Rattus norvegicus: one gene and its partners. The protein of the gene in region 3 purifies or fractionates together with the protein of the main gene of each other region. This does not show direct contact. Links are inferred from orthologs where the notes say so. Each region holds a gene or a part of one and is shown on either strand. Other genes may lie near its edges. The genes, in order: Cnot1, Cnot9, Rc3h1, Larp1, Ybx3, Serbp1 and Nufip2.

Region 1 (2,944 bases), on a different chromosome or scaffold from region 3:
TGGACTGAGTTCAACTTTGAAAGTTCAGTCTTTCTTAAGCACATTTCTTGTAAAGTATGACAGATGTCTTATCAGTTGCCTAAAATTGATTCTCAGGGTCACTCACCTTTCAAGGACATTAAATTAAAAGTAGAAAACAAAACCTCCACACCTGAAGTTTTTAAATATAGTTTAACCACACAGATTTTCTTGTTTCCTCCAGTTGACACAGAAATGGTATATAAAGTTTCCTTGCTAGGGGTGGCTGTAATATTGCCAGTGAGGCAAGAGATGGATAATCTGGACTATATAGTAGCAGAAGTCCAAAAGGATCAAGTAATCGGAAAATCTGGTCACTACTTTCCTATTGACTGGGCTGTCCACTTCTGTCGCCAGCACTGGCTGCTGCTGCTACTGAGAAAGGCACAGTGGACTCCTATGCATGTCATGACTTTACAAGAAAGCTGATTAAGGCCCAGAAGCTACAAAGGCTACAAAATGTTAACAGGGGCCTAGCTGTTCATGGAGCATTTTCAATCCTGATCCTTACAAAAGGCAGCAGCCGTAGCAGTCATCCATGACAACATGACCTGTTATTTACCAGGCTGTACCGCCAGCCTAGGCATGGTGATGCAGAACCCCAGACCAGAGGTGATTTCCTCTCCGGGTATGCTCTCCCTTAGGACCCTTTCCAAAGGCAAGCAGAGCTCCCTGGGTCTCAACTGTGAGTCTTCCTGTGTTCCCAGGCTATCAAAGAGCCTATCTAGTCTACACTTAGAAAGCTGCATGAATTCAATGTTTTGCTATTCTTTGGAATGTCACAGAAGTGGGAAGACAAGCTGCTGTGCCCCAAGACCAGAGCATGCCGTCAACTACCTTTACACACATATCTAAGACACACTTTGCACAAACTCAAGAAGTTCCAGACAAAAGTTTTCTCTTTCATATATTTACACAAGTTCAAAATGATATTCACAGCATCTTCTAAATTTTGGCCAAGAGTCAAAAAAAAAAATGCATTTAAACTTTGGAACTTGCCCACATAGACAGGAGAACCAACCCCAGCAGTTGTTGGGGCAGACGCCTGAGAACCAAAGGGCTAGGAAAGTCAGGAGGAGCTGAAAGGATTCTTCAGTTTATGAACTTGGTTCAGTGGGACCAAGGTTGATGCCTCTGCAAGGGATATACACAGTTCATCTAACTGGCACCGGTCCCCTCCATCACTTGCTGAGCCTGCTTCTGTCCCATGCAGCACTGCGCAACAGACTGGAACAGCCTGAGAAGGGGAGACAAGCATGTGTTAACGGCACGACAAGCTTCAGGCCTGGAGATTCCAATGTGACAGCTACAACTGCCCTCTAACTCAGACCCAAATTAGAAGCATTCTTTTCTGTTTCCCTGCTTGGTAATTAACATTTTAACTCACTTTTCGATCTCTGGGGCACAGTGTACAAATTCATGGTTCCAGAACTTAAATGCTGGGTTTTTAATCAGCTCAATGAAGGTGATGAGAAGACCCCAAGGATGCGGCCTATTTACAATCAACCGTTCCAAGAGAACCCTAAAAAGGGGTAGAGAAGAGTCAGTTAACACATAAAAAGCAAATGCCTCACAACTGTGCCTCCTTTGCCCCTTTCCCTGAACCCACTTAGAATTTAGCATACAGGAATCGGTGAGATCCTTCCTACATGACAAGTGCTGGCTAGAATCAATTCTTTGTTCTCATACTTGTTTCCTGGTGGCAAAGATTTGCTGCTGAAGCTTCAGACATAATTACAAACCAGCGGCACATTGCCACCCAAGCACACAAGAAGCACAGCTCAGTGTAGGGAAGAACCGTGGCCACGAGCACTCCGTTGGGAGAATAGGAAGTCCCACCCCATTAGATTGTGCACTCATCTCCAATCCTATATGGTTTAAACAAAACAGAGTATGACCCTACTGTTTCCCCTTAAAACCTTAGAAAAAAAAGAAGTACACAAAATGTCAACAAGATTCTGGATAAAAAATGTTATTGTCACTGCTACCACCAAGAAACTAATGTTGCTTTTATGGTAAACTAGACCCAGCATTTCAAAGCCAACTACTGTCAACATCAGCTTGTTTATAATTCCTCAGACATGATTCAGAATAAGACAGCAAAACTGGGACTGCACACGACTCCACTCAGAATGCAGACAGGGAGGCAATGTCTGAGCCAGCCTGGTCTACAGAGCAAAGTAATTTCAAGACAGCCAGGGCTACAAACAATGCAGGAGGGAAGAGCCCCTGTAGGGCACCATACACTAAATCTTTCTCACCTTGTGATCTGTTCCTGGATTGCCTCAGTGTTCGCCTCGGCAAAAAGGTACAGCATGGTGCAGCTGAAGTAGTGCGTGTGGCTGTTTGGGTACCGCAGCTGGTTTGCAATTGCGTTTAAAAAGAGATACCGGCCTGGAAGTCAAGGAAACTAGATTTAGGACTTACCCTTGCGGGCCAGAATGAGTCAGTTTAGGCTTTGGTTTCTAAAGGAGACTGATACCATCAGGCAGACACCATTAGCACGGTGGGCCTTGGGCCAGGATGGATACAAACTGAACGTTAGTCCAATTCTGTGATTTACTAGTGCTTTTCTGGATACCAACTTTTTTTTTTTTTTTTTTTTTTTTTGGCTTCTGTAGATTTTATTTGCAATCCATACTATGAATCAGCAAAATTCTTACATTCTTTTTTTTTTTCCCCCTATTCTTTTTTTCGGAGCTGGGGATCGAACCCAGGGCCTTGCCCAAGAGCTCTACCACTGAGCCAAATCCCCAACCTTCTTACATTCTTTTAAAAAAACTCTTGAGGGTCACTGTTTTACATTCTATAGACTTCCTGTCACGTCACAGCAGCGGAAAGCCAGTTCTGCACTGTCGACACCTAGCTACTTAAAGCATTTTATTTCATTTGTACTTGAAAAATTGCTGTGTACACATGAAATAAA
Region 2 (4,601 bases), on a different chromosome or scaffold from region 3:
AAAAGACTAGATTCTCATGACTAACATAATCATAGGAACAACTAGAAAACAAAGCATAGGCTGCCCAGTGGCGTCTGGAAACTCCTGGTCCACAGCATTAGAAAGCTTGCAGTGTTCCTTTGTACAAATCTTACTGTGCTGAGATTGCTCAGCGTTTCCTCTAAGAACTGCAAAACCACTACAGAAAAACACAACACAGCTGGCCATCAGTTATCAATCAGGCTGTGCAATGAAGGAAATTCGTATGTGGCTTACATATATTCTTTATTTGTGCTTATATAAACGCACACCTCCCCCTATGAAAACTATAGTCCCCTAATTAAGAACTTGAACAAGGGGGCTAGAGAGATGGCTCAGCGGTTAAGAGCACTGACTGCTCTTCCAGAGGTCCTGAGTTCAATTCCCAGCAACCATATGGTGGCTGACAACCATCTGTAATGGCATCTGACGCTCTCTTCTGCTGTGTCTGAAGACAGAGACAGTGTACACATAAAATAAATAAACCTTTAAAAAAACAGAACTTGAACAGTTAGAAACAGGATATAAAATATCACTTGCTTTGAAAAGAAGAAATAAACATCATAAAGTGGCATGTTAATATTTTTTATGTGTATTAGTCTGTGTGTCTTGTGAGTTTTGGGGATTTAACTCAGGTCCTCAGGCTTGGCAACAGGTCCCTTTACTCACTGAGCCATCTCACTCGTTCCTAAAGCAATGTTTCTGTATAGGTCTCGCTTACATACACTTAGCTGGGTTGCTTACTTTTTTTTCCCCTTTGAGACTGGGTCTAAAATGCTCCATAGACCAAGCTGCCATTGAATGCAGAGATCTGCCTGCCTCTGCTTCCCTGTGTGCTGGGATTAAAAACATGTCATGCCAATCAGATTGTTCACTTTTGGGAGGAGTCTCTGGAGACTGAACCCAGAATGTCACAAATGCTAGATCAAATATTCTGCTATAATTACTATCTCCAACCATCTTTTTTTTTTTTTAAGATTTATTATAAGTACACACTGTAGCTGTCTTCAGATACATGGACATCAGATCCCATTACAGATGGCTGTGTGCCACTATGTGGTTGCTGGGATTTGAACTCAGGTCCTCTGGAAGAGCTGTCAGTGCTCTTAACCGCTGAGTCATCTCTCCAGCCCCTCCAACCATCTTTTAAAAAGATGTTTTCTGAGATTTAAAAAAATTGCCAGGCTGATCTTGAACTTGTGGTCTGTTTGTTTGAGCTATTATTACAGATGTGCTGCCACCACACTCTGGAGAATGTTTATCTTTTCTTTTTGGTCAGGATATCACTATGCTAGCACGCTGGTCTGGAACTCTCCATATAGACCAGGCTGGCCTCAAAATTCACAAATTTACTTGCCTTCTGCCTTCCAAGCACGACTGTCCTAAATATTTCATTTTATACTTGAAGTTAAGGTAGTTTTTCATGTTTTATTTAGTCATTACGTCATGTTGTCTCATAATGTAATCCTAGTAGATTGTTTTCCTGATAGCATTTCCCTTTGGTGAAAGTGAAACTGGCAAGTGTTCTTAAACTATGCTGCTTCCGGTTGTGGGAGTACCTATTCAGGTCAGCAATATTTGAGTGCTTACCTTGTAGTAGGAACTGTCCCAGTGGTGGTGAAAACAAGTAAACACGACTCACCAAATACCTACCCCTGACTTCCAGGAGACAACCCACAAGTAAAAATAAATAAAAAATCCCGTAACTAAAACTGGGATCAGTGCTCTTTATGAGAAAATATTGGGGTTACAAGCTACTATGAAGATGGTCGGATAAAGTCACTCTGAAGTAGACTTGTGTCCATGTATGGAGTCAGAGTCCTAAGAAATACAATCCAGGTAGAGAATATGCAACAGAAAAGTTCATATACATTTTGGTCCGAGCTTAGGGAGCAAGTGACAAAAATCAAGCCCATAAACGTGACTAAGGACCATATCATACAGGAATTGTAGGTCAAGGAGTCTAATTTCTCTAAATTTAACCGAAAGTCATAGTATGACTTTAGGGAAGTGTAATACATGATTCGCTTTTCTTGGAAGGATAAAACGAGAGGTGCGAGGAAGGCTTTAAATGCAGAGAACCTTAAGTCAGATAGTCTTTGGCTTTCCTCATGCAAAGTGGCTTGAGCTAGAAGCCTATTTCTAATCACTGAGATCTGCCTAGGCGAGGAGAAATGGGATCACGGGACCAGAGCGAATGGCCGTGGAATTATCCTCATCTCCACCGACGCCCAGCACACAACCGGCAACCAGAAACTGACGCCGAGCGCAAAAGAATCAATGAATGGCCTGCTGAGGCAGCGCGGGGCGCGGGACCAGGCCTCGGCGCCGGAAAAGAACGCAAGAGGCCGCGCGCCAGGCCAGGAGAGGGGTCTTGAGGGGATAGCGGGGTCCGGCTCCGCCACGGTCTGCGTGTGGAGACTCCCGGACCTTGGGACTAGGGGCAGAAGCAGCTAGACTTGGGGCCCAAATCTGGGAACTAGAAAATGGGCTGAGACGGACATCCGGGCGCAACCACTCACCGCTGCCGTTGCCAGGCTGTGCATGTTGGGAGCGGGGGCCGCTCTACTTCTTCCGCTGGACGCGCCGGACCCGCGTCCCAGCTTTAGTGGCTCTGCAGCCGAAGATGAAGAGCCGCCATCCGTCTCCGGCTCGCTCCTCCCTCTTCGCAGCCCTTTGACCTCTCACCTCCGACCCTCCGCCCACACAGCCCTTTCCCGCCTCCTGGACCTCGGCCTAACAAATAGTCCCAAAGTATGTCCCTTGAACCTTCAGGTTCAGGATCAAAATGACGTCTGCAAACTACTGGTCCTCGTATCCCCCCGGCATCGCAAGTATATCCCCTAAGAAACGTGAACTCTGACTTTCCTCCTAAGGCCAGAGAAGGGCGGGAAAAGGCCAGCAGTCTTGGAAGGACAAAAACTGCGCATGCTCAAGCAGGCTGAGCGAGAGGAAAATGGTGGGAGGTCCAAAGTTGGTAAAGTGGAGAGTACGCATGTGTATTACAGTACAGTCACGACAGGGGCGGGGCCGCCCGGGTTAGGGGCTGGGCTTAGTATGGGGCGGAGCGAATGCTTGAGGGGCGGGACTTGCGCGCTTACGCGCACGCGCCTGGACTGGTTGCGTCGAGAGTGCGTGCGTCCGTACGTGTTTGCGTCTAGTCACAGTTCCCGCCATCAGAGGGTTTAGGTGTGCTAGGGGAGAGACCGGCCTCGCTGTCTGGGACTACGGGAGCTCTTTCCTTCCGAACCTCTTGGCCCCTCCCCCTCCGCGGGAACTTTATGCTTCCGGCATGTTTGTCCGGAGCTGGGACCCTCTGGCACAGGTAAGGCGAGCCAGGACAGCTTCTGAATTGAGCCGTTTTCCTCGGCACCCCCCCCCACCCTGTGCGGTCCGCCCACTCGGCGTCCACTTCAGAGTTCGCCGGGCTGCTTCTCAGCCCGCCCCGGGTCCTTGGACTCTCCCTATGCCTACAGGTGCCCCCATTCGAGTATTTCCTCTTTACTTTCTTTCTCTTTTAACGAAGTCCTTACTGTCACTTGCTTTCTGCATCCTAAACCTGGCTCCTCTTCACCAGGGTTCAGGTGGTCTCAGCTTGCCTCCTTGCAGGGCCTGCTGTCTTTACAGGTGACTTTGTTGCCACATATTCATCAAGACCTTGGATACGGTACTCACTCGCCCTCTTGACCATTCTTTACTTTTCTACTCCCCTTAAACATTACTCGCTAAAAGGGAGTGTAATTTTTGTCGTGCTTTGGTTGCTACCCGTATCTAGCCATGACACTGACGATGTCCAGTTTACCAATTTTAAATCAAGATCTGGCGAAAAATAGAAAAGTAATTGGTAATAAAGTTCCGTGTCGTTGGAAAGTTGTACTGTAGTGTTCAGATTTTCTTTTGGCGAGTTACGGTATCTAATGCGTCTATAGTTGAAAGAGCTAATCTAAGAGGGAATTGTTAAGAGGGCATTTGGATTTATTGGGTTAGGTATTAGAGGAGGATTCTGGACCAGACAGATAGACACTATTGTGCTTGTATGGTACGTTTGTGATTTGTCATGTTAATATGTGGGTGAATATCCAAAAGAATAGTGTTGCATACTGGCAAAAGGTAAAGGAGGGACTGAAAAATCCAAGGACAGATGTAATCAGTTGTCTTGATAAAAAAATTTTGGCACGGTAAAATAATTTAGTTTTGGACTGGGGTTCTCTTCTCTTGCTCTCCAAGCTTTAAATTCTACTATATGTTGATAAATTGAGGATTTTTATTTTCAGCTCCATATTCAAATAGCTGACTGCTTAACATCTCAATCTGATTTTTTTCCCTTAGGAATTTCAAATATGACATTTTAAAAAACTAGAGTCTGGATTTCTCTCTGTACCCAAATTCTCTTTTTTTCCAGTGTCCACTACCACAAGTGACGTGCTCATTTTGATGCCATATATCCATTTGTTTAGTTACACTGGGTAGAAACTTAAGAGGCAGTCTTGATTTCTTCATCCTATGTGTTCATATCCTTTCCAAGTTCTGTTTTACGTCAATATATGTTTTGCATCTATTTCTGGCCATCTTCACTTTTATTT
Region 3 (4,022 bases):
TTACTGGCATGTGACATGATATCTGGTTTATGTGGTTTGGGGTATTGAATCCAGAGTTTCATATATATTAGGCATACACTCTATCAACTGAACTATACCCTAGCCCCTCAAGCAATCTTAATATATAAAGACTTCATTTTAGTTTATACTCCCAAAATTGCCCAAGGTGCAATTACTTTCTTACAGGGAAAAGTTTAAAAATCATTGCCTTTAAGAGTCTTAAAAGCAGTAATAGAATTACACTGAGAATCATAATTACCACTCTAGGATTCTTACCAGAAATGTTAATAGATTTTGTGGGTGCTCCCTGAGGTGCCAGAGCTTGCATTGGGCCAGCACCCTGATACAGTGTTTTGGATGTTCGAGAGATGGCACCAAATCGAGATACCGTTGGTCGGTCGCCAAATGGGATAAGGTCATCATCACTAGTTTCCACTGCTCTTCTCTGAAGATCCAACCTCTGGTCTCTCATTCCTTTACTTTCTACATTCTGACAAAAAGCAGAAGTGACATGTTGTTTAGCATAATTTCCACTAGCTCTGTAAAGGAGTTAATAAGAGCATGATGCTCTTATTAGTAAGAATAACTCTTTAGTTATCTTTGGATGTCATATAAAACATTGGTTTTAGATCACAGTAAGAATATGACCTACTTTAAGTACAGACAGATGATAGTAGATGATAGATCAACCCATTCCTAAGTAGTATGTACCAACATTAACTTGTCAGGCAAGCACTTTACCACTGACCTCTATGTCTAGCTCAAATATCAATGCTTGAGAGGCACTGGGTTAAGGCTTCTTTCACGTATCTAGAAAAATTTTTAATGGCATGTAATTTTGTTATTTTTTTCCAATTTAAGGAAATTAATTTTACTTTGCTAATGTTACTTCAGTGTGACAACCCTTTTGAAAGCACCTTACATTACTATTCTATTTCAACTTAGTCTAGTGAAAGACTTCCTGTGTTATAGAGGCATCCTTGCTCAAGAAGGACATTGCAAGTTTTGTTTCAACTTAATTTCACCTTATTTGATGCTGGGAACTGAGCCCAGGACCTTGTTCTGTCACAGTCCCCTTGCAGGTTTGCTTTTTTATTTAACTATTCTTTCTTACTGGCCTGTCACCTACTTGAACTGGTTTTATCTTGAACAAGCTAGGTAAACATTATCTATGAAAACCTACACAAATCAGCAGGGAACCTTCTTGGGATTCACAGGGAAAATGATGTCAAGTGATCCCTGTCAAACCAGTAATACCACTGTCTGTCTTTCTTTTTACTTTCCTTCTTTTTTCTTTTCTTTTCTTCCTTCCTTTCCCTCCCTCCCTCCCTTCCTTAGGAGACAGAGCCTCACTATATCCCCCACCATCTCTGCACCCCGCCACCTCCCCACCTCCTCTCCCATCCTGAGACTAAAGGTATGCACCACTACATCCAGCTTTTTTTTTTTAAAATATATTTCAAGCTGGCTTTTGGCCAGGAATACATGTCTAAGCATAACTTTCATGGATATGCACAAAGTCTAGAAAGTGTCCATTTAATACTCTACGTAGGGGCTAGAGAGATAACTCAGCAGTTAAAAGAGCTTGTTCTTCTTGCAAAGGACCGGGTTTGAATCCCAGCACCCACATGGTAGCTCATAACCATCCCTAATTCTAATTCCAGGACATCAATCTAATGCTCTTTGGACAACAGACGCTCATGAAACACTAACATATATGTGAGCAAAACACTCATACACATAAATATAAGCAAATCTAAAAAAAAGTCTTTAAAAAAATGAAGTGAAAAATTATACATAATGTTAAAAGATCAGTAACAGTGACCTGTAACTGTAGCTACTAGCCAGGCTAAGGCAAGTCTACCACAAGCCTGAGATTAGCGTGTGCTATGCACAGTGATTTCAAAGCCAACCCAAAACTTAATGAGGTGCTTTCTCCAAAAGGAAAGAGTAGCAGCTGAGTACAGTGGCACTTGCCTAGAGCCTCAGCTACCTACCCCGTGGATGAGACAAGAGGGAGACTTTATGCAAGGTCATCCTGGACAACACAGGAAAACCCAGTAGGGTTTTTGCTAAAAAACAAAACAAAACACAACATTGTGCAGTGTGTGTGTGTGTGTGTGTGTGTGTGTGTGTGTGTGTGTGTGTGTGTGTCTAAGCAATAAAAATTAAACTCAGGGAAGAGGTTACTTATTGACAGGGAGGAGTGAGGGACAAAAATAAGATTAGGGAGATTAACTACTTTTACAAAGTTTTATTGCTATAGGGGGCAATTAATATGTAAAATACTGATACATAAATACGGAAACACACACACATATCCCCAGCTGTCCAAAACTCACTATGTAGACCAGGTTGACCTTGAACTCACAAAGCTCCAGCTGCTTCTGGCCCCAGGTGCTTGTATTAAAGTCTATTAAAGTACCACTGATGGGCAAGTTATTTTAATTATGTGACTTTGTAGTACATCTATGTGGGTATATGCACTGAGTAGGTGCCCACGGAGACCAGAAGAGCAGTGGATCATCTGGAGCCAGAGTTACGGGTGGTTGTGAACTGCCCAACATGAGAGCTGGGAACAAAACTCAGGTCCTCTGCAACAGCAATATGCTCTCTTCAACACCGAGCCATCTCTCCAATCCTCAAACCTTGGATTACATACTGAAAGTGATTTAACTTGGGTTCTGAACAACTCTTGGGAATTACTACCTAAAATAATATATAATATTCTTTGTCAAGAAAATAATATACTTTATACTTAAATGAAACAAAAGCAAAGCTTTCTTAGTTGTCCCTATAATTTAATAGATGAGAATTTATGTATCTAGGTTTTATTAATTATGCTTAGCCATTACACATACCATCATTTCCACACTCCCTGCTGCCACAACATCTTTGGGTTTTGCATCTTTGGTTCCAATGTAGGAGCCGATGGTATCACATGACCAAGGAGAATATTGGCTATAATCATTTGCTTTGTATTTTCCAGCTACCTTCAAGTCTTCATCCAAAAACTATAGATAGAGGGGGAAAAACAGGAAATGGGTCTATGAGTTAACAAAACAGAAAAAGTGGGGAATGTCTAGAACATCAAATTAAAGCAATATAGTGATAGTTACTTGATTATTAAGTGTCAGAACATATTTTTATAGACTGAAAAATGTGAAGATTATTTTAGCCTTCATATGTTATTGGCAGCTAAAAAAAAAAGAGAGAAAGAAATAACTTCAACCTCCTTTCATAATTCAAGCTAGGATCTTAAGAAGTTTGTTCACTCTTTCTTCCACTGCCTTAGGTAAAGTCAAGTCAGCACGAGAGTAAATATGCAGCACGCCGTATGTACACTGGCGGGGCTATCCTCAATAGGCTCCAGTAACTCCTCCAGTACACGAGAGCACTCTCCGTACCTCGTGCTTTATGAGGTAGGTATAATGCAACAATTCTTTGCTGGTGCTTCTTCGACAGCAGTATTTCCTGTCTTGAATACATTCTGGGCCAAGACTGATTCAATTAAGTAAAAGAACAAAATGCCTTATTTTTATCTTCTTGACTAAAGTTCTGTGTTATACAATAACAATATTCCATTCTGAGGACAATGTGTTTTAACATTTTAAAGTTCTAGCTCATGTAGAACAGCTAACTTTTAGAATATATTGATACCTAGCAAGTAAGCTCTTCCACTGAATATTATATATTATGCAGCTACAAAAAAGAATAAATTAACACCAACATAGATATCCCCAAAACAAAACTAATAAACAACTCTGCTCTACTCCAACAAACATGTTCATACACATAAAAATGTTGAAATACAACAAAACTGTTAGTTGGTATAGGAAATGGGAATTTGAAGAAAGTATTATTTCTATGTCATGGACTCCTGTAATGTATGAATTATATATGAGAATTCAGAATAGAAGCTTAAATATGGAGCTAGCCAGGTGTGGTGGTGAAAGCCGTTAACCCCAGCACTGAGAGACAGAGACACTATGATTACCTTCATACAGTAAACGAGCTACTAT
Region 4 (4,022 bases), on a different chromosome or scaffold from region 3:
AAAATGCTTGAGAAAATAGCTTTAAAAGGCTTTATTATGTTTGTTTATTTTGTTTGTTTTTTGGGGGGAGCACCAGGGCATGCTTGTGGAAATCCGAGGACAGCTTGTGAGAGTTGATTCTCCATTTCCTGGCGAGGCAAGGTATATTTTACTCAGACCAAGAGACTTGAAAAGACCAGTGTCTGGAAACTTTTGCCCTCTTTTCAGAGATGATTTTCGGTATACCTTACTTCCAGTCCTTGTGCATAGAATTCTTTCTTTCTTTCTTTCTTTTTTTTTCCAGAGCTGGGGACCGAACCCAGGGCCTTGCGGTTGCTAGGCAAGTGCTCTACCACTGAGCCAAATCCCCAGCGTGCATACAATTCTTGTTGTAAACTTTGTCACTAGCTTTGGGGCTTGCTTTCCTGCTAGCATGTACCAATGCTGTTGAGCACATGAAGAAATGACTCCAGTTGTAGCTCAGGTGGGCGGCCACTGTCCAGGCCCTGGGCTGAATTGGATGAAGATCTGTTTAGTTGTTAGATGGTCGGTATATCCCTGGGTGTCCTGGAACTTACTTTGTAGATTAGGCTGTCCTCAGATTTCCAGAGATCCTTTGTCTCTGCCACCTGAGTGCTGGCATTAAAGGCATCTACTACCACACTTGCTCGGCTCGTGTGAGGAGCTTTAGACCAGTCAAGGAACTACTAAATGTTCAATGGCTTATCTGGGTCAACCTGGGGTCAAAGGACAGTGGTTTTCTTGCACCTGAGATTTTCTAGTTTTCTGCTTCTCAGCCCTGGAGGTTGCTGTGGGCTCAACAACTCCAGCTATCAGAAGACTTATGTCCACCATTAGGGGACAGTGGCTCCAGTAACCGGCCAGAAGCCAGGAATGAATTGGCTTCACCCTTAGGAACTGGGCAAGGACACTTTCTTCTCATTAAAGGACATAGTCTGTTGAAAAACCTTGTGAGGCCAGCCAGCCAGGTTTCTGTGCTTGGAGGCTAGGGTAGTTCCTGACCTGACATGGCAGAGGAGGGAAGTACAAGCTAAAGTGAGTGAGCAGAATCTCAGGTTGTGTTTCTTCCCGTGGATCTCTAGAGGCAGGAGGGACAAGACACCCTTGGTTTTCAGGACCAAACTAACCAGAGCCACTTCTTCTAGACTTGCGTACTCTGTTCCTTAAAAGCCATCTTCGTCTTTGTAGAAAAGTTAAATATATGCCCCACAGATGCATGATTACATACACGCTCCTCTGTTCTATAGAAAACAGATGAAGTCATCATCTTCTATGTGTCTATCTCCACATAACCAAAGACCAGTATATTCTAATGGCTATTGTGAAAGTGGATGAATTGAAATTCGGTGATTTTAGTACTGTTGGAGTTGAAATTGTGTATAGCTCTTGTCTCACTTGTATTATTGGGGTTCAATCTAAAAGATGAAACTGGCCAGGTATGGTGGCATGCTTGGGAGGCAAAGGATGTGTCGGGGGGAGATCTCTATGAGTTCAGCAGTCTGATCTGCTGACAAGTTCCAAGCCAGTCAGGGCTACACTGGGAAATGTTGTCTCACAAAATTGAACTTTAGAGTCAAATCGGAGTATGCCTTTTCTTTAGGAACAGAAAAGGTAGTTCTTACTTCAACTACATGTCAGCGAGGACACAGCAGGCCTTGGTATGGCCCTGGACGTGTCCATTCACATGTTTAGCTTTATTTTCTTTGGGCTTGCAGAAGTATACAGAAGACTCAATCTCCTTACAGGTTTTGCCTATAGATTTGGAGCTCTGAGTTACAGTGTAGACTTGGTTATGGACCTTGAGACTCAGTTGATAACTCATAAAAAATACAGACTTAGACTCTAAGGGTTTTCCCACTTCAGTGTTGAGCAGCTTGGTGGCTAGGCTGCCAGTTTATATTGTTGCCCTTTCTGCTGTGGCTCCTTTGGGAACCTGTAGGTGCATGGTGGGATGGGCATGGTAATGACATAGGCTCTGACAGCTGATTCTTTCTCTTTGTTCCCACAGAACCTTCTGCTCCGGCCAAGGTGGTGAGGGCAGCTGCTCCCAAACAGCGTAAGGGCAGCAAGGTAAAGACCGGGGAGTGTCCCTGTGGGCGCTCATTATTCTTGTTCTCATAAGCACTTCGGGCCCTTCTCTAAGAGCATGGAAGCCTTTATGGGTGCCATTGCATGGTGTCTGAGTGCACACACTGTTGTGTCCCTATCTCTAAAAAGAGCTAGAGCTTGGGTGTGGAGCAAAATGGCAGGCAGAGTAACCCCAAGGCCTTCATAGACGATACCTTGCAGGTTGGTGACTTTGGAGATGCAATCAACTGGCCTACACCTGGAGAAATAGCCCACAAAAGTGTGCAGGTGAGTGAGGAGGGGTTGGCAGGTTCAAGTACTCTTCATACTGACTTAGTTGGTTTTTGACCAAGAGCCATAAACACCACCTTTCTTGATTTTTGAAAAGGAGTGGTCGGTGAGCACAATAGTATGTATACTTCTGAAATCCCAGCTACTCAAAAGGATAAAGAAGGATGACTATACTCAGTCCAAGAGTTCAAGGCCATCCTTTGAGACATAGGACTCCCAACCCCCTTCAATTCTCAACAAATGAAGAGTAGTTATTTAAGATGGACAGGAATGAAATAATTAGGAATTACCATCATGTGAGCCTTTGCCTGGTTTCAGGGGTGCCAGGCACTGTTCTTTTTTGCCTTCCAGTGGTGGCTCAGCGGGTTTAGGAAACAACTGTGTTACAGTTTTCCAAAGCCCATATTTTTCCATTACTGAGCCACATTTTTCTATGAGTAATTGAAAAAAGAGGTATCAGTTGAGGCACTGACTCCAGTTTGGGGAGGTATACTTAGCTCCCCTAGATTCTAGCAGAAGAGACTCTTTCTTGGTCAGTTCAGTTCCACTCATCACTTTTGTTCTGAGCTAGTGACTGCCCCAGTGGGTCCCTTATGGTAGAGGTTTTGGTACAGACAGGCCAGCATCTTTTCTATCCCACAGATTTGGGTAGCTAGAACAATCAGTTGTTCTTCCATAGCTGGTATGGTCGTGTTTTGTAGTGGTGTTGTCTGAGTATGAAAGCTAGACCTTAGGATGTATCTAGTGTAGCCTGTCCTTATACTTCCCCAGTGACCACATGTTTCCTTGCCTCTTGTAGCCACAGTCCCACAAGCCTCAGCCTGCCCGTAAGCTGCCACCCAAGAAGGACATGAAGGAGCAGGAGAAAGGAGATGGAAGTGATAGTAAGGAGAGCCCAAAAACAAAGTCGGATGAATCGGGGGAGGAAAAGAATGGGGATGAGGACTGCCAGCGAGGCGGGCAGAAGAAGAAAGGTAAGTGGCTTGGCCAGGACCCGGGAGGTGTACCTTTCAGAACTTTGAAATGACATAAGCCTGACCTGCTGGAGGAACTTCAGGCCAGGGGGTGACTGACTGCTTGGAGCAGCTTTTGCTCAGCCTTAGTGCATCTTCTCTTATACGGGCTTTTATATTGCTCTAAGAGTTTCTTAAACCTGTTGAAATGATACAGGCTTGACTGCTTTCTCTCCGAGACCTATTCTGTGTCTGCAGGCCAGGCTTGAGGTGGCAACTCTTAACTCATTAAGCACAGCAGCCTCTCCATCCAAGGTGGCTCCCTTGTTCCTGCTCACTCCACCTAGAATGGCCCCACAAGGTTGTCACAGGCAGTGATGTGTCACATGTGTGAAGGGAGCCTAGAAAGTTAGTTTTTATTCAGGTTTCCAGAAAGTGATTCTTACATCTGGAACCTCTGATCTCCTTATTTTAGAGATTTATAACAACAAAAAAGAGGTCTGGTGTTTGAAAAGGACATGCCTATGGCTACCAGATGGGTAGTTGAACTAGAATTTAGGGGGAAGGAAAAAGCCATGTCTGAGGGGCCTGCCATGCCTCTCTGACATGCTTATGCCGTCCCTCAGGGAACAAACACAAGTGGGTTCCGTTGCAAATAGACATGAAGCCTGAAGTACCCAGAGAGAAATTGGCCTCACGTCCCACTCGCCC
Region 5 (4,604 bases), on a different chromosome or scaffold from region 3:
GTGTCTTGTATGTCTCGTCCTAGAGACCAGGACTCCTCCTCCTCCTCCTCCTCCTCCTCCTCCTCCTCTTCTTCTTCTTCTTCTTCTTCTTCTTTTTTTTTCTTAAAAACGTTTTTTAAGCTGGGCAGAGCAGCATACAAGTTTAATCGCAGTACTAGTGGAGGAGGACAGAGGAGCGCAGAGAGGTAGGAGGATCTCTAAGAGGTTAGGCTGGCCTGCACAGGGGGTTCAAAGACAGTCAGGACTAACACCGCCACAGGTGGTGGTGCCAAATGCTGTTGCCATGACCCATGTATGGAGGTCAGGACAACTTGAGGGAGTCGATTATCTTCCTCCATCTGGTAGGTCCAGGGATGAAACTCAGGTGGTCAGGCTCCGAGACAAGCCTTTACCTGCTGAGACATCGTGCAGGTCCTACTCTCAGTTGCTCAAGCTTTCCCCCAGTTTAGAGTTAATTATAGCCAATTGTAGCAAAAGGTATAATGTGGATTTATTCCACTCTTTCAACGTAGGTTATTAAATACATATTAACAGCTTATTATTGGTTGCTTCTAACTGGTGTAAATCCTGCATTTGCAGAAATTCTGGAAGGTCTAGATTTTAATTTTCTCACTTGTGGAATCGCTAAATGGGGCCTTTTGATTTTTATAAGAGTTTTTGTTTTGTCTTGTTGGGGGCAGGGGTGAGGGCAGTGTTTCCCTGAGCGCACGCAGCTGTTTGGAGAGAATCTCTTGCAGCCTGCAAATTTCTTTGGCCCATGATGACCTTGAACTGATCCATGCCCTAGACTCAGGGCACTGTGCCTGCTAGGCAAGCACTGGATCCCCTAAGCTACATCTCCAACCCTTTGCTTGTTTCTGTGTTACTACCAGGAAGGAGGAGTAAAGTTGAGGCAGTCTCAGTAGCCCAAGCTAGGCCACTACTCACAGTGACATTCCAGTCTCAGTCTCTAAAGTACTAGTATTACCCCTGCCAGCCAACTTCAGTTCCCAGGTTATTCCAGTTCCTAATCTTAGCACCCAGAATACTTTCTGGTGTTTTCTGGATGCGCAAATGTAAAAGAGGGTTTTTGGTTTTGTTTTAAGGGGCCGCGTGGCTGCCCATTCCACCCCTCAAGAAGCAAACTCAAGTGGAAGATGTCTTGGGGAGGGGATATCTCCTCTGCTCCGCGTCAACCTCTCCACGGTGCCCACAACCCGGGACCCACCAGCTCCGAGAGCCCTAAGGAGTAGCGCAGGCGCCTTTAAATGCTAATGAGCAGCCGGGGCGGCTTTCCCCACCCTCTCTCCCCGCCCCGCGCCCGCCGGCCCGCCCGCCGCCCGCGAGCACTTGCGCGGGGCCATCTTCGGGGCCGGGAGACCCAGCGAGACCGCGAGCGCGCGCGTCCCCCGCCCTCGAGCCGCCGCCCGCCGCCGCGCCGCGCGATCCGCACCGGCCTCCCCGAGAGCGAGCCGGCCGCCGCGACCGCCACCGCGCTAACCGCCGCCAACCGCCACCGAGGTGCCCGGAGAGAGCGGAGAGGCGGCATGAGCGAGGCGGGCGAGGCCACCACCGGCGGCACCACGCTCCCGCAGGCCGCGGCCGACGCGCCCGCCGCGGCGCCCCCGGACCCCGCGCCTAAGAGCCCGGCGGCCAGCGGCGCGCCCCAGGCCCCGGCGCCCGCCGCGCTGCTCGCGGGGAGCCCCGGCGGAGACGCAGCCCCCGGGCCCGCCCCGGCCTCATCAGCCCCCGCGGGAAGCGAGGACGCGGAGAAGAAAGTTCTCGGTGAGTCCCTGGCTGCAGCCCGGGAGAGACGGCGGGCGAGGATGGACGTGGATGCAGGGCGGGCTGGGACACGTGGGCCAGGTCTGGGGAGCCTTTGCTGTGGGTCGGGAAAGCCGCACGTTTCCTCGCGGGGAGGATGGGACTCCGGAGAGGGACAGGAGGGGTGGTTTGGGAAGACTTTATTGTGTGGTGTATTTTTCCCCCCTTGGCCTGGTAGTGTCAGGTGTCTGTCCCCGACGCCCTTCCCTCGTGGGCTTGGGACAGCCGCCATGCTCCTGCGGGCCATATGCCGGCACAGAGATGTTGCAACGCCCGGAGAAACTTGGGGCGGGCACCCTCCTCCCCTTGTGTCCACAGATGCAAAGAGCCTTCCAGTATCCACCAATTGCTGCACATTTTCCTCTCCCGCACCGTGGGAACACACGTACAGGGCTGGGAAAAACTTAGTCGGGAGTAGGACGAGTGTCCAAAACATGGTTACCATACGACTTGTAACTGGAAGGGAAACGGGAAGGTGGGGACTGGAGATATTGGGGGATCGAGGGTTTGCAACGGTGGCTGTTGTATTTTGTCACATATTTGAGTGTCCTCATCTTCCTTAAGGAACGCCCGGTGTGAGGCCTTCCACAGGCTGGCCTAGCAGGTGGGTGGTGGATAAGCTCCCCGGAGGGTGTGTGCGTGCGCATGTGGTTCGCTATCCGAAACAGGAAAGTTAACAGATGGTGTAGGATGCTTCTGAAATGTTCACTGTTTCTGGGTGGGGCCGATTGGGCTCGCCTGCTCTCTGAGCTTCCTCCCCATTTAGCATGAAAGCTGAAGGAGTATTGTGGAAAAAAAATAGAACACCTTCAGTGTTCCCCACCCCCGACAATCCTTTGGTTTTTGTTTTCCTAAGGCTTTAAAAACTCAGTTCCTCCCAATTTTTTTTCCTCACCCACACGAAAAAGTTCCTTAAAGGTCTTGTGGGTGTTGCATTGTGGCACTTTCCACCAGATGCTCCTTGGACAACTTCCACACAAAATGGAAGATAGAACCCTGTGTTGCTAGCAGAAGCAGGTTCTTAATGATACCTTACCCGGGGCAGATGGAATCCTACAGGTTTTTACTTGATCCTTGAATTTCGAGATAAGAAAAGTTGATAATATCTTTGTAGATGGGGGCGTGGGGGTTGTAAACGAAGGTTAATTTCCTCAGTCTCCAGCAGTTTAGTTCTGTTTCTGCCAGATGCCTGGTGTTGAATCTGTTGTCTTTCATCCTGCCACTCAAAAGTCCAGACTCTCAAAATTAAGGGCAAGCCTCCACCTGACACTTTCGGCACTGTTTGTCTTTGTCCTCTGTGGTCTGCCATCTCCTGTGCCAAGCAGACACATGGATACCCAAAATGTTCTGGACTTAGTACTGACTGAAATGGATATCTTGGACGCTCTCACTCTGGTCTTTGCAAAGGGGCCTTTGGTTTATACCATGTGGTCCTTCAGGGAAAACAAGTTTTTCCACGTAAAAAGAACTGAATAGGCTTATTCTACCAACTAACCCCTTGCTGTGTACTTGAATATAGTATTAAAAATGTGAATGGATTTGTTTGGTTATATGAAGCTCATGGAAATATTTGTACAATTTGTATTTTAAAAAAAAATAACTTTGAGAAGTAAAGAAACACCAATGGTGAAAACAGACTTGAGAATCTTTCCCATCTTCCCCCTTCTGCTGTTAGCATTGCATTTCCCTCGCTTTGTGTATCTGTTTTTGGTTTTGCACTTTTATTTTTTTGAGATTGGCCTCATGAAGAAACCTAGGCTGGCCTACACTCACTCACTTTGTAGCAGATGATAACCTTTAACTCCTTGTTATCCTGCCCTCATCTCCCAAGGGGCAGGATTACAGGTGCACCACACTGGGCTTAGTGTTTTTATCAGTTTCTTTCACAACCTCCGTGTGTGTATCGGTATATATCTGTATCTATCCAGAATATTTAAAAGAAACACAAAAATCCTCTCATGTGGAATCTTGTTGTAGAGGCCATACTGTTTATCCATACCTGACTTCTTTATGTTGACATCCGAAATGTGAGTTTTTCTTTTTTCTCATTTGCTCTGCAGCTCACATTAGATTGGCTTTAAGCTAAATGCTGAGCAGTCCATCTAAGAAAGCTAAGAGGCTTGTGCAAGCCCATCTTTGTGCCCCACAGAACCACAGCATCTCCTCACAAGAGGCTGTAGATCTGGCTTGTCCACTCCTGAGCTTCTCCCTTCTAAATGTAGCCTTGCCAGGTTTTCTCTTTCACTGAGTGTTGATGACCGTCTGGTGCATTTCCTTGGTTTAGACCTCTCCATTTCCTGGAGACACTAAATATGACATTCACCATTGATCCCAGCAGTCATATTTGGAATCTACAACATTTAGATTCTTTTTCTTAATGAATTTTCAAGTGAGGCATTGTAGAAAAATTATCCTACCTATGACAGAGGGTGGAGATAGTAGGCCATTGACTGTAGCAAATGCCAGGGTTCCCTTCTCAGCAGCTGAAGACAGCAGGTAAGCCCCTTGGTGTGAACGGGCCCTGTGGTGCCATGCGTCAGTGGTAAATACAGAACTGGGGTGAGCCAACATGAGTTCTGTTACTACTATGGCCTTCTGACCAGCCCTCAGTTGGCCACCAGTTTCTTTATATCTTCTTAGGCTGATTATGAAGAAGGAGCTACTATGTTGCTTTTTAAAGTTTGCCCACTATTTCAAAGTCCAAGAATTGATAAGATGACCCAGCTTCTGTTCTTCCCCCTGCCTCTTCCTTCGAACATGGGAGATTTCTGGGTGAATAACTGGAATGTGTTGTGTGTCTG
Region 6 (4,022 bases), on a different chromosome or scaffold from region 3:
AGTTCACAGAAAATACTCCAAATCGTATCACAAATGTACATTCAAACAACCACAATGGAAATCAAAGACTCTTAAAAGAATAAAAACCTAGAAACAGACCTGACAATTTCACCAGCATGAATCAACATGTATTTATTACCCCAGATTAAGCACATACAAAAAGAAATTATTCTAGTTGCCTGGTGGGCCAATGAGTTTCACTAGTTATTTATAGGAGTATGGGTAAGGGTTTATTTACAGTAGCAATCATTAATGGCTTACACATATTCAGAGAAGATAGGGGTCGTCCTTAGACCACCTGGCAAGCTTCACTAGAACCAATGTTTAGCGGCAGCTACTCTGATTTCAAGACCACAATGCTCAAGTCATAACACAGTAGATTGAGTTCCACAGCATAAAATCAGTGTGCCAAAAATACACCTAATATCCCGTTGTTTACTGTAGCACTAGACTATCCAGGGAGCACAACACCCTCTACTGGCCTCATAGATGCTGCATGAATGCAGTGTACTTAACACACATGCAGGCCAACACTCAGACACATGAAATTTTAAGAATGCTAATGAGCTAAAACATTCTCGTTGCTTTTTAGTTTCAAATAATTTGCTGCTCAAAATTCATATTAATAAAAAAACTTAAATTGGACCTAATTTACCAAGTCTTTTCAAGTTGTCTAGTTTTAGTATATATAACTAAATGTTGAGATTACTTTGAACTATGACTAACTAAACACTACAAATACCTCTTACACCAAAACTTGGTTCAGTTAATAATCCTACCTATTCAGAGTAAGAACAGTTATCACCAGATCCTATCAGCAAGCTTTGTTCCTTTCCCTTTATGATTAGCTCTAAAAGGCTTTACTTACAATACATATAGTCCTTAATATATGGAACAGCACAATTATCAGACTTATTTCCACGCTGGATTATTACTTCCTGACACAAAACCACTTACTTATTTTCAGTGTCTGCCACTGGGTGCTCTTCACCTTCGGGTGTTTCCTCAGTCACATTTGATTGCTCCAAATCACTGCAATTATAAGATATTTGTTTCTGAATGTATTTGGGTGACTCTCTAAGGAAAGAAAGAAGAAAGGCATCTAGGTCCATTTACATGTAGCCAAAATTCTTTCATACCAAAGTAAAAACTTTTACATTTTTATATATTTTCTACTAATTTTACTCTCCAGTAGACCTCCAAGAGAAAACAAATTATTAAATTACCTTACACACTTTTAAAACAAGGCTTTCTAAGTCAGACACAGCAGTAGAAGGCTGTAATTACATAGCAAGTTCAAGGCTAGTCTCAACTACAGAAAACCCATCTCAAAAAAAATCCAAAATAAACCAAGAGAGGAAGAAGCCTTATCAAATTTTGTAAGAACAAGACTACAACAGCTACAGTTAGAACTATATTCCCAGCATCCTCATCACGGGGCTTTCAGGACTGTACACACATCCTTTATCAAAATAAAACTATTAATATACCTAAGTATAAAAAAATTGCTCATCTAATATAAACATATCCTATAAGACACTGTAAGGTGGGGCAGGAGAAATGGCTCAGTGGTTAAGAGCACTGACTTCTCTTCCAGAGGTCCTGAGTTCAATTCCCAGCAACCACATGGTGGCTCACAACCACCTATAATGGGATCTGATGCCTCTTCTGGTGTATCTGAAGACAGCTACAATGTACTTATATATAATAAATGAATAAATATTTTTAAAAAAAAAGGCACCGTAAGGTTATATATAGCTTTAAGACAAAACATTCATTCTTGCTTCAGGAACAAAATCTAAGTTACTGATAATCTAGCACTTTTGGTTTCATTGAAATTGTTTTATTTATCTTAAAAGAAAAATCAGAATACCAACGTTAATTCATCTTTGACAGTTCCCCAGTTGTGAGATCCGCTACCTCCACGTTTGTCCTCATGCTTCAGGCCACTGTAATGTGAAAAAGAACTAACAAAACTGAGTTAACATTATACTCTTTAGTTCTAGAAATTCAAATTTTGTTTTTATTAAATATGCACATTTAAATCTCATACATACAACAATCAATATAAGACTTACGATCTATCACTTCCACTATGCCTATCAAATTCACGCTTGCCACGAGAATCAAATCCATCACCTCGGCCCATTCCACGGCCACGGCCACCTCGACCCCTTCCAAGACCACCTCGGCCTCGGATAGGCCGTTCGATGATCGGTCTGCAAAGCAAATTAAAAAATTGTTATCTCTAGTGTTTCCAGAAACTGGAAAAATCCACTCCAAGCTTGAAAATATAGAATATGCTCACTGGCTCATAACCGAACAAGTAAATATATGGTATAGAAAATTCCAAGTTAATTTCTACTCACATATGGGAGGATTAAAAGCTGCTTTGCTACTGTTTAAAGCACTGCTGCTGGAACACACTCACTTACTGACTCACTGCAGGTCACGCTGCTACTTACCGACCTATATACACAAAACTACAGTGACACGGAGCTCGCCTCAAACTCAAGGTCTGCACAGAGGAAGGAAAAACTCGATACGGACTTAATTAAAATATACTATTAAGAAATCTAACTTAAAATATGTTGTCGAAAATGTAAATATACCACATATTTAATTTCTCTGAAATACACAAAGTAATCACTCCAACTACTCTAGCAGTATGCCCAACTCATAGCTTTACATTAAGATCTAACTATAGGGTGATAAAGCAAGAAAACCTTATTTAATGCTTACCTATCAACTGAAAATTCACCTCCTTCACCTTTTTCTTCAAGTGGCTTTTCAAATCTTCTTTCACGAGGTGGTCGCCTTTCTGGTCTCCTATCAATTATTTTCCCATCACCCTGAAGTTGTTGATCAGGTCTTCTTCCAACTCGCCTTATTCCTTATGACAAATAACCAACATAAGCAAATCATCTTTATAATACAAAACGTTGAGGCTAGACTAGTAGAGCTGATCTGTATCATCTATGTATATTTAACAAACTAGAATATTCTTATTCAACAGTAAACCTCTCAAACTTCATTTACAAGCATTCTGTAACTGACACAAATCACTAGGTACCATCACTCCTTTAGTTTCCAAGTCAAAGTTTCTTACTACAAAATGTCAAACTTACAGATAGTTCAATCAAGGGATATATTTTTAACTTTTAATACAAAGCTAATACCAGTAGCCATTCATAAATAACCAAGCACTGGATATTCACTAAATTTGCTGCACTGAAGAATGAAATTCACCCAATAGAGAATTCTTGATTCTATAAAATTGTAATTCTGAAAGGAAAACAAAAGGCACTTATGAGTTCTAGAAACAATTTAAGACAGCTATACTACAACATCAACACTAGGCAGGTTTAAAAACTCAAGGCCAATCTGGATTACAGAGAAACCATGTCCCATCTCCATCCCAAATAAGCAGAGCTATTTAATCAGTGGGAGTTAAAAAAAAAAACCCACCTTTCTCAGACCCAAAACATTCAAAGTCCAAGTATATGTACACATATCTCTATACACATTCCCAATTTTTTAATACTACTGTGTAATCAGTAGGAAACTTCATTATTAGTATAGCTGGTCTTTTTCTAAGTCTGCTCTTACAAATATCTATTTTCAAAGCATCTTCACAAATCAGACACAGGAAGATCTTTTAGCAATTACATTCTAAGGAGGCTGCAACTGTGGCTCATTACCTGGGTGTCAGTAACATGCACAGCCCTGAGCCACAGAACCCACTCTCAAAACAAGAAAATAGAAAACTTATGGCACTAACTGATATTTAAAGCATTAACTAATTTTTCTGCCTTAATTTTTTTCTGACAACATAGGAAACTCACAAAAAAAACAACTGAAATAAATTGAATTATTGGTAGTCTTAAGGACAAGTTGATAGTTAAACACATGCCTAACACTTCAGATATGCTCTAATAGGTGTTGACAGTCCAAAAAACAATATCAGCTGAGAAACTGTTTTTGTAAAATCTTAAATAATGTGACTAATTCTAAGAAAATGG
Region 7 (4,022 bases), on a different chromosome or scaffold from region 3:
GGGCTGGAGAGATGGCTCAGTGGTTAAGAGCACTGACTGTTCTTCCAGAGGTCCTGAGTTCAATTCCCAGCAACCACATGGTGGCTCACAGCCATCTCTGATGTCCTCTTCTGGTGTGTCTGAAGACAGCTCAGTGTATTCATATACATAAAATAAATAAATCTTTAAAAAAAAAAAAAAAAGATTTAAGCATGCTACATTCTCATGTGTGCCTAAGTATATATGAGTAAAAATAATAAAGAGGTTGTGAATTGGGGACACAGCATTATGAGTCCCCAAAGGAGAGTGATGTGAAAATACTGTCACAGTACTGTGTATGAAAGTATCATTTTTTTTTTTAATTTATAAAAGGCTAACCTTAGTATGGCTCAACAGTTAGGTGCACCTTCTACTCTTGCAGTGGAACCCAAATTAGATTCCCAGAATCAACATTGAACAGTTTGCAACTGCCTGTAATTTCACCTCCAGAATACCCAATATCTCCTTAGCACCCAAAAGTTCATGTCAGTGGTTAAGAATACTTGTGATCTTCCAAGTTTGGTTCCCAGCACCTGCATTGTGGCTCATAGCCATCTGTAACTACAGGCACTGGTGTGGTGGGAACAGAAAAGCAGGCCAAAATGTAAACACATAAAAAAGAAAGTCGGGGGCTGGGGATTTAGCTCAGTGGTAGAGCGCTTACCTAGGAAGCGCAAGGCCCTGGGTTCGGTCCCCAGCTCCGAAAAAAAGAACCAAAAAAAAAAAAAAAAAAGTCGGGGGCTAGAGAGATGGATCAGTGGTTAAGAACACTGACTGAGGGGTTGGGGATTTAGCTCAGTGGTAGAGCACTTGCCTAGCAAGCGCAAGGCCCTGGGTTCAGTCCCCAGCTCCAAAAAAAAAAAGAACACTGACTGCTCTTCCACAGGTCCTGAGTTCAAATCCCAGCAACCACGTGGTGACTCACAACCATCTGTAATGAGATCTTATGCCCTCTTCCGGTGTGTCTGAAGACAGCTACAGTGTATATAAGTTTTTAATAAAAAAAAAAGTCAGGCTGGGAAGATGGCAGTGGTTAAAAGCACGGACTATTCTTTCAGAGGTCCTGAGTTCAAATCCCAGCAAGCACATGGTGGCTCACAACCGTCTGTAATGAGGTCAGATGCTCTCTTCTGATGTGTCTGTCTGAGGACAGCTACAGTGTACTTATATATAATAAATAAATCTTAAGTCACAAACAACTTTGTTATTCTCTAAGGCAAGTTTATTCTAGAGAAAAAAAAATCTTCATCCCTATAATCTGATGGGCTCTCTCTTTCCTACAGATGAAAAGTCACTCCAAAATAAACCAGTATTTAATTAAAAAGTAGCATACACCTTTAATCCTAGCACTAAGAAAGAGATAGACATGTATTTGAGTTCAAGGCCAGCCTAGTCAGCATAGGTAGTTCCAGGATAGGGAAGACTACATAGTTTCTAAAAACAAATTAGCATGTGCAGTAGGCAATAGATGTTTATACCCAAGGAGTAGAAATGACATAAAGGATGCAAATAAAAATTGTTTTCTTTTAGTGTCATGGAGGATGGCCTTCAATCCCAGCACTCAGTAGGCAGAGGCAAGTGGGTATGAGTTCTAGGCCAGCTTGGTCTACAAACTCAGTTCCTGGATAGACAGGTTTACACACAATTCCTCCCCCACAAAGTTATGCATTCAGCAAGTTTTCATTTTTCTTTAATTATCCAGGTGAGGGATCTGCAATGGCAAACTGAATGTCAGAGGACCACCTCTGGGAACCAGGAATTGGAACTCAACTCAACTCAGGTCTAAGGCTTGGAAGCTGGTGCCTTTGCCTACTAAAAGCTATCTCTACAAGTCCCAAAAAATTCTGTTGTTCGAGTTAGGATTACTTTAGGTGGGGGTTGATGGGTTTGTGATTTTTTTTTTAAGACAGGTTTTTCTCTGTGTAACCTAGGTATCCTACAACTTTCTCTGTAGACCATACTGTCCTCAACTCAGAAATCCTGCCTCTGCCTCCCAAGTGCTGATAGATTGCACCACCATTGCATGGTATGTCAGGAAAGTTCTTAATTCCCTGCCTGGCACGTATTTAAGAGCAAGGCTCAAGGGTTGGGGATTTAGCTCAGCGGTAGAGTGCTTGCCTAGCAAGCACAAGGCCCTGGGTTCGGTCCCCAGCTCCGGAAAAAAAAAAAAAAAGAAAGAAAGAAAGAAAGAAGGAAAGAGCAAGGCTCAAGCCTTAGTAGTTAAGGAACAAAACTTGGAGGAACACTACTGCCCAATTCATTATAAGCAATTAAAACCATGAAATGCTTTGCTAATAGAGTATACACTTTAAGAAACAAGAGAGGGTGGCCAAAGTTGGTGGCATACACAGGCAATCCCAGCAGCACCTGTAGAGGATCAGAATTTCAAGCCCATTTGGCTTATAAAACCTTGGACTCTATCACTTAAAAAAAAAAAAAAAAAGTGGGGTTGGGGATTTAGCTCAGTGGTAGAGCGCTTGCCTAGGAAGCGCAAGGCCCTGGGTTCGGTCCCCAGCTCCGAAGAAGAAAAAAAAAAAAAAAGAAAGAACCAAAGAATTCAGATATACTAGTTTGGGGCTGGGGATTTAGCTCAGTGGTAGAGCGCTTACCTAGGAAGCGCAAGGCCCTGGGTTCGGTCCCCAGCTCCGAAAAAAAGAACCAAAAAAAAAAAAAAAGCAAAGCTGTGGGGCTTGAGAGAATGGCTCAGTGATTAAGAGCACTGACTGCTCCTCCAGAGGTCCTGAGTTCAATTCCCAGCAACCACATGGTGGCTCACAACCATCTGTAATGGGATCCGGTGCCCTCTTTCTGGTGTGTCTGAAGACAGCGACAGTGTACTCATATAAAAAATTAAAAAAAAAAAAACAAAAAACCTGTGAGACCCTATATAAAATAATATTAATATTATCTTTAAAGCAACATGAAGCCCCTCTAATTATGTGACCAATTATGCTTTTCTTGATCATTTTATGTTGGAAAATTACATTCCTCTAAACTTTAATATGATTTCCAAAAATCTCAAATTAACTGATGATACTAATTCTTACCCAGGTATTCCCAATATAGAGTATCAAATATACGCACACACCCACGCACACACCCACGCACACACCCACACACACCCCCACACCCACCCCCACACACAGGATAGAGAGGGGAGGGACTTATCAGCCCATTGGAATCTTTGAAAAAGAAACAAATAAGAGTTACCTTTAGTGTGATATACAATAGCAGCCCTCAGGTCAAAAGAACCCCAGCTATCATTCCTTTCTAGGCCTCTCTGGTATCTCTGTTCTTTGGCGGAGCCTAACAAAGTGTTCGTAGGAGAGGCCAGAGGATTTTGATTTTCTATTTCGTAGTCCTTTGAGAGAAACACTAAAGCACCTTGACTACTGGTGTCTGCTTTTTGCAGGTCACCTATATGACTGGGTTCCAAGGATAAGGCTCCACTCTCAGTAGTCCCAGGTTTTAGAATGTTACCCAGAACTTGAGGACTAGTCCGTTTTTCCAGCTCATAAGCCTTGGGAAACACAGGATGCTCAGTTCCTGAGGGAATTATTTCAGCACCCTGTGAAACCAAAGTGGCAGGATATTCTCCTTGAAATGTCACTTCCATCACTTTATGATCTGATGACTTTCCAATAACAGTCTCTGGGCCAGCACTGGGTTCATTTATAAACGATAAACCCCACTGATTCTGGAATATATCTCCCAGGTTTTGCTGATCTGTCTGAGAGGGCAGATCTACTTGTGCACTTAACAGCACTGTTTGCATATTTGAAGGGTAGATAAAAAGGCTAGACTTAATTTGTTCAACAGCTGCTGAACTCAGACTCATGTCCTGAAGAACTGAATCAGTCCCAGTAGAGATGGGTGTTAAAGTATTAGCAGCAGTAGTTAGCAGTGGCTGACCCGCAGATGGATACATACTTCCATCAGTTCCTGCTAAAACAGGCCCATTAGAAAAACTGGCAGAAGTAACAGATTTCAGAGCTGACATGGGG

The links.
Region 1: the proteins of Rc3h1 (region 3) and Cnot1 purify together in Homo sapiens (affinity purification with mass spectrometry; 5 studies listed by BioGRID, with this or other methods). This does not show direct contact. The link is inferred for Rattus norvegicus from reciprocal best matches to the Homo sapiens genes RC3H1 and CNOT1.
Region 2: the proteins of Rc3h1 (region 3) and Cnot9 purify together in Homo sapiens (affinity purification with mass spectrometry, with the first as the bait; 4 studies listed by BioGRID). This does not show direct contact. The link is inferred for Rattus norvegicus from reciprocal best matches to the Homo sapiens genes RC3H1 and CNOT9.
Region 4: the proteins of Rc3h1 (region 3) and Larp1 purify together in Homo sapiens (affinity purification with mass spectrometry, with the first as the bait; 3 studies listed by BioGRID). This does not show direct contact. The link is inferred for Rattus norvegicus from reciprocal best matches to the Homo sapiens genes RC3H1 and LARP1.
Region 5: the proteins of Rc3h1 (region 3) and Ybx3 purify together in Homo sapiens (affinity purification with mass spectrometry, with the first as the bait; 3 studies listed by BioGRID). This does not show direct contact. The link is inferred for Rattus norvegicus from reciprocal best matches to the Homo sapiens genes RC3H1 and YBX3.
Region 6: the proteins of Rc3h1 (region 3) and Serbp1 purify together in Homo sapiens (affinity purification with mass spectrometry, with the first as the bait; 3 studies listed by BioGRID). This does not show direct contact. The link is inferred for Rattus norvegicus from reciprocal best matches to the Homo sapiens genes RC3H1 and SERBP1.
Region 7: the proteins of Rc3h1 (region 3) and Nufip2 purify together in Homo sapiens (affinity purification with mass spectrometry; 3 studies listed by BioGRID, with this or other methods). This does not show direct contact. The link is inferred for Rattus norvegicus from reciprocal best matches to the Homo sapiens genes RC3H1 and NUFIP2.

Annotation. Positions count from the first base shown.
Region 1 is NC_086037.1:9,350,592-9,353,535, reverse strand, and holds the end of Cnot1 (CCR4-NOT transcription complex subunit 1), read right to left. Parts: intron 2,413-2,944; coding exon 2,280-2,412; intron 1,541-2,279; coding exon 1,406-1,540; intron 1,256-1,405; coding exon 1,177-1,255; 3' UTR 900-1,176; downstream 1-899.
Region 2 is NC_086027.1:83,531,749-83,536,349, reverse strand, and holds the start of Cnot9 (CCR4-NOT transcription complex subunit 9), read right to left. Parts: upstream 2,982-4,601; 5' UTR 2,565-2,981; coding exon 2,541-2,564; intron 1-2,540. UniProt on the Homo sapiens protein: Component of the CCR4-NOT complex which is one of the major cellular mRNA deadenylases and is linked to various cellular processes including bulk mRNA degradation, miRNA-mediated repression, translational repression during translational initiation and general transcription regulation.
Region 3 is NC_086031.1:75,762,403-75,766,424, reverse strand, and holds part of Rc3h1 (roquin-1), read right to left. Parts: intron 3,015-4,022; coding exon 2,862-3,014; intron 491-2,861; coding exon 277-490; intron 1-276. UniProt on the Homo sapiens protein: Post-transcriptional repressor of mRNAs containing a conserved stem loop motif, called constitutive decay element (CDE), which is often located in the 3'-UTR, as in HMGXB3, ICOS, IER3, NFKBID, NFKBIZ, PPP1R10, TNF, TNFRSF4 and in many more mRNAs.
Region 4 is NC_086028.1:42,722,652-42,726,673, forward strand, and holds part of Larp1 (la-related protein 1), read left to right. Parts: intron 1-2,008; coding exon 2,009-2,070; intron 2,071-2,289; coding exon 2,290-2,355; intron 2,356-3,157; coding exon 3,158-3,332; intron 3,333-3,937; coding exon 3,938-4,022. UniProt on the Homo sapiens protein: RNA-binding protein that regulates the translation of specific target mRNA species downstream of the mTORC1 complex, in function of growth signals and nutrient availability.
Region 5 is NC_086022.1:166,881,231-166,885,834, reverse strand, and holds the start of Ybx3 (Y-box-binding protein 3), read left to right. Parts: upstream 1-1,343; 5' UTR 1,344-1,526; coding exon 1,527-1,764; intron 1,765-4,604. UniProt on the Homo sapiens protein: Binds to the GM-CSF promoter. Seems to act as a repressor. Also binds to full-length mRNA and to short RNA sequences containing the consensus site 5'-UCCAUCA-3'. May have a role in translation repression.
Region 6 is NC_086022.1:97,734,070-97,738,091, reverse strand, and holds part of Serbp1 (SERPINE1 mRNA-binding protein 1), read right to left. Parts: intron 2,894-4,022; coding exon 2,743-2,893; intron 2,220-2,742; coding exon 2,079-2,219; intron 1,968-2,078; coding exon 1,878-1,967; intron 1,078-1,877; coding exon of another isoform or gene 1,033-1,077; coding exon 958-1,032; intron 1-957. UniProt on the Homo sapiens protein: Ribosome-binding protein that promotes ribosome hibernation, a process during which ribosomes are stabilized in an inactive state and preserved from proteasomal degradation.
Region 7 is NC_086028.1:63,079,653-63,083,674, reverse strand, and holds part of Nufip2 (nuclear FMR1 interacting protein 2), read right to left. Parts: coding exon 3,229-4,022; intron 1-3,228. UniProt on the Homo sapiens protein: Binds RNA.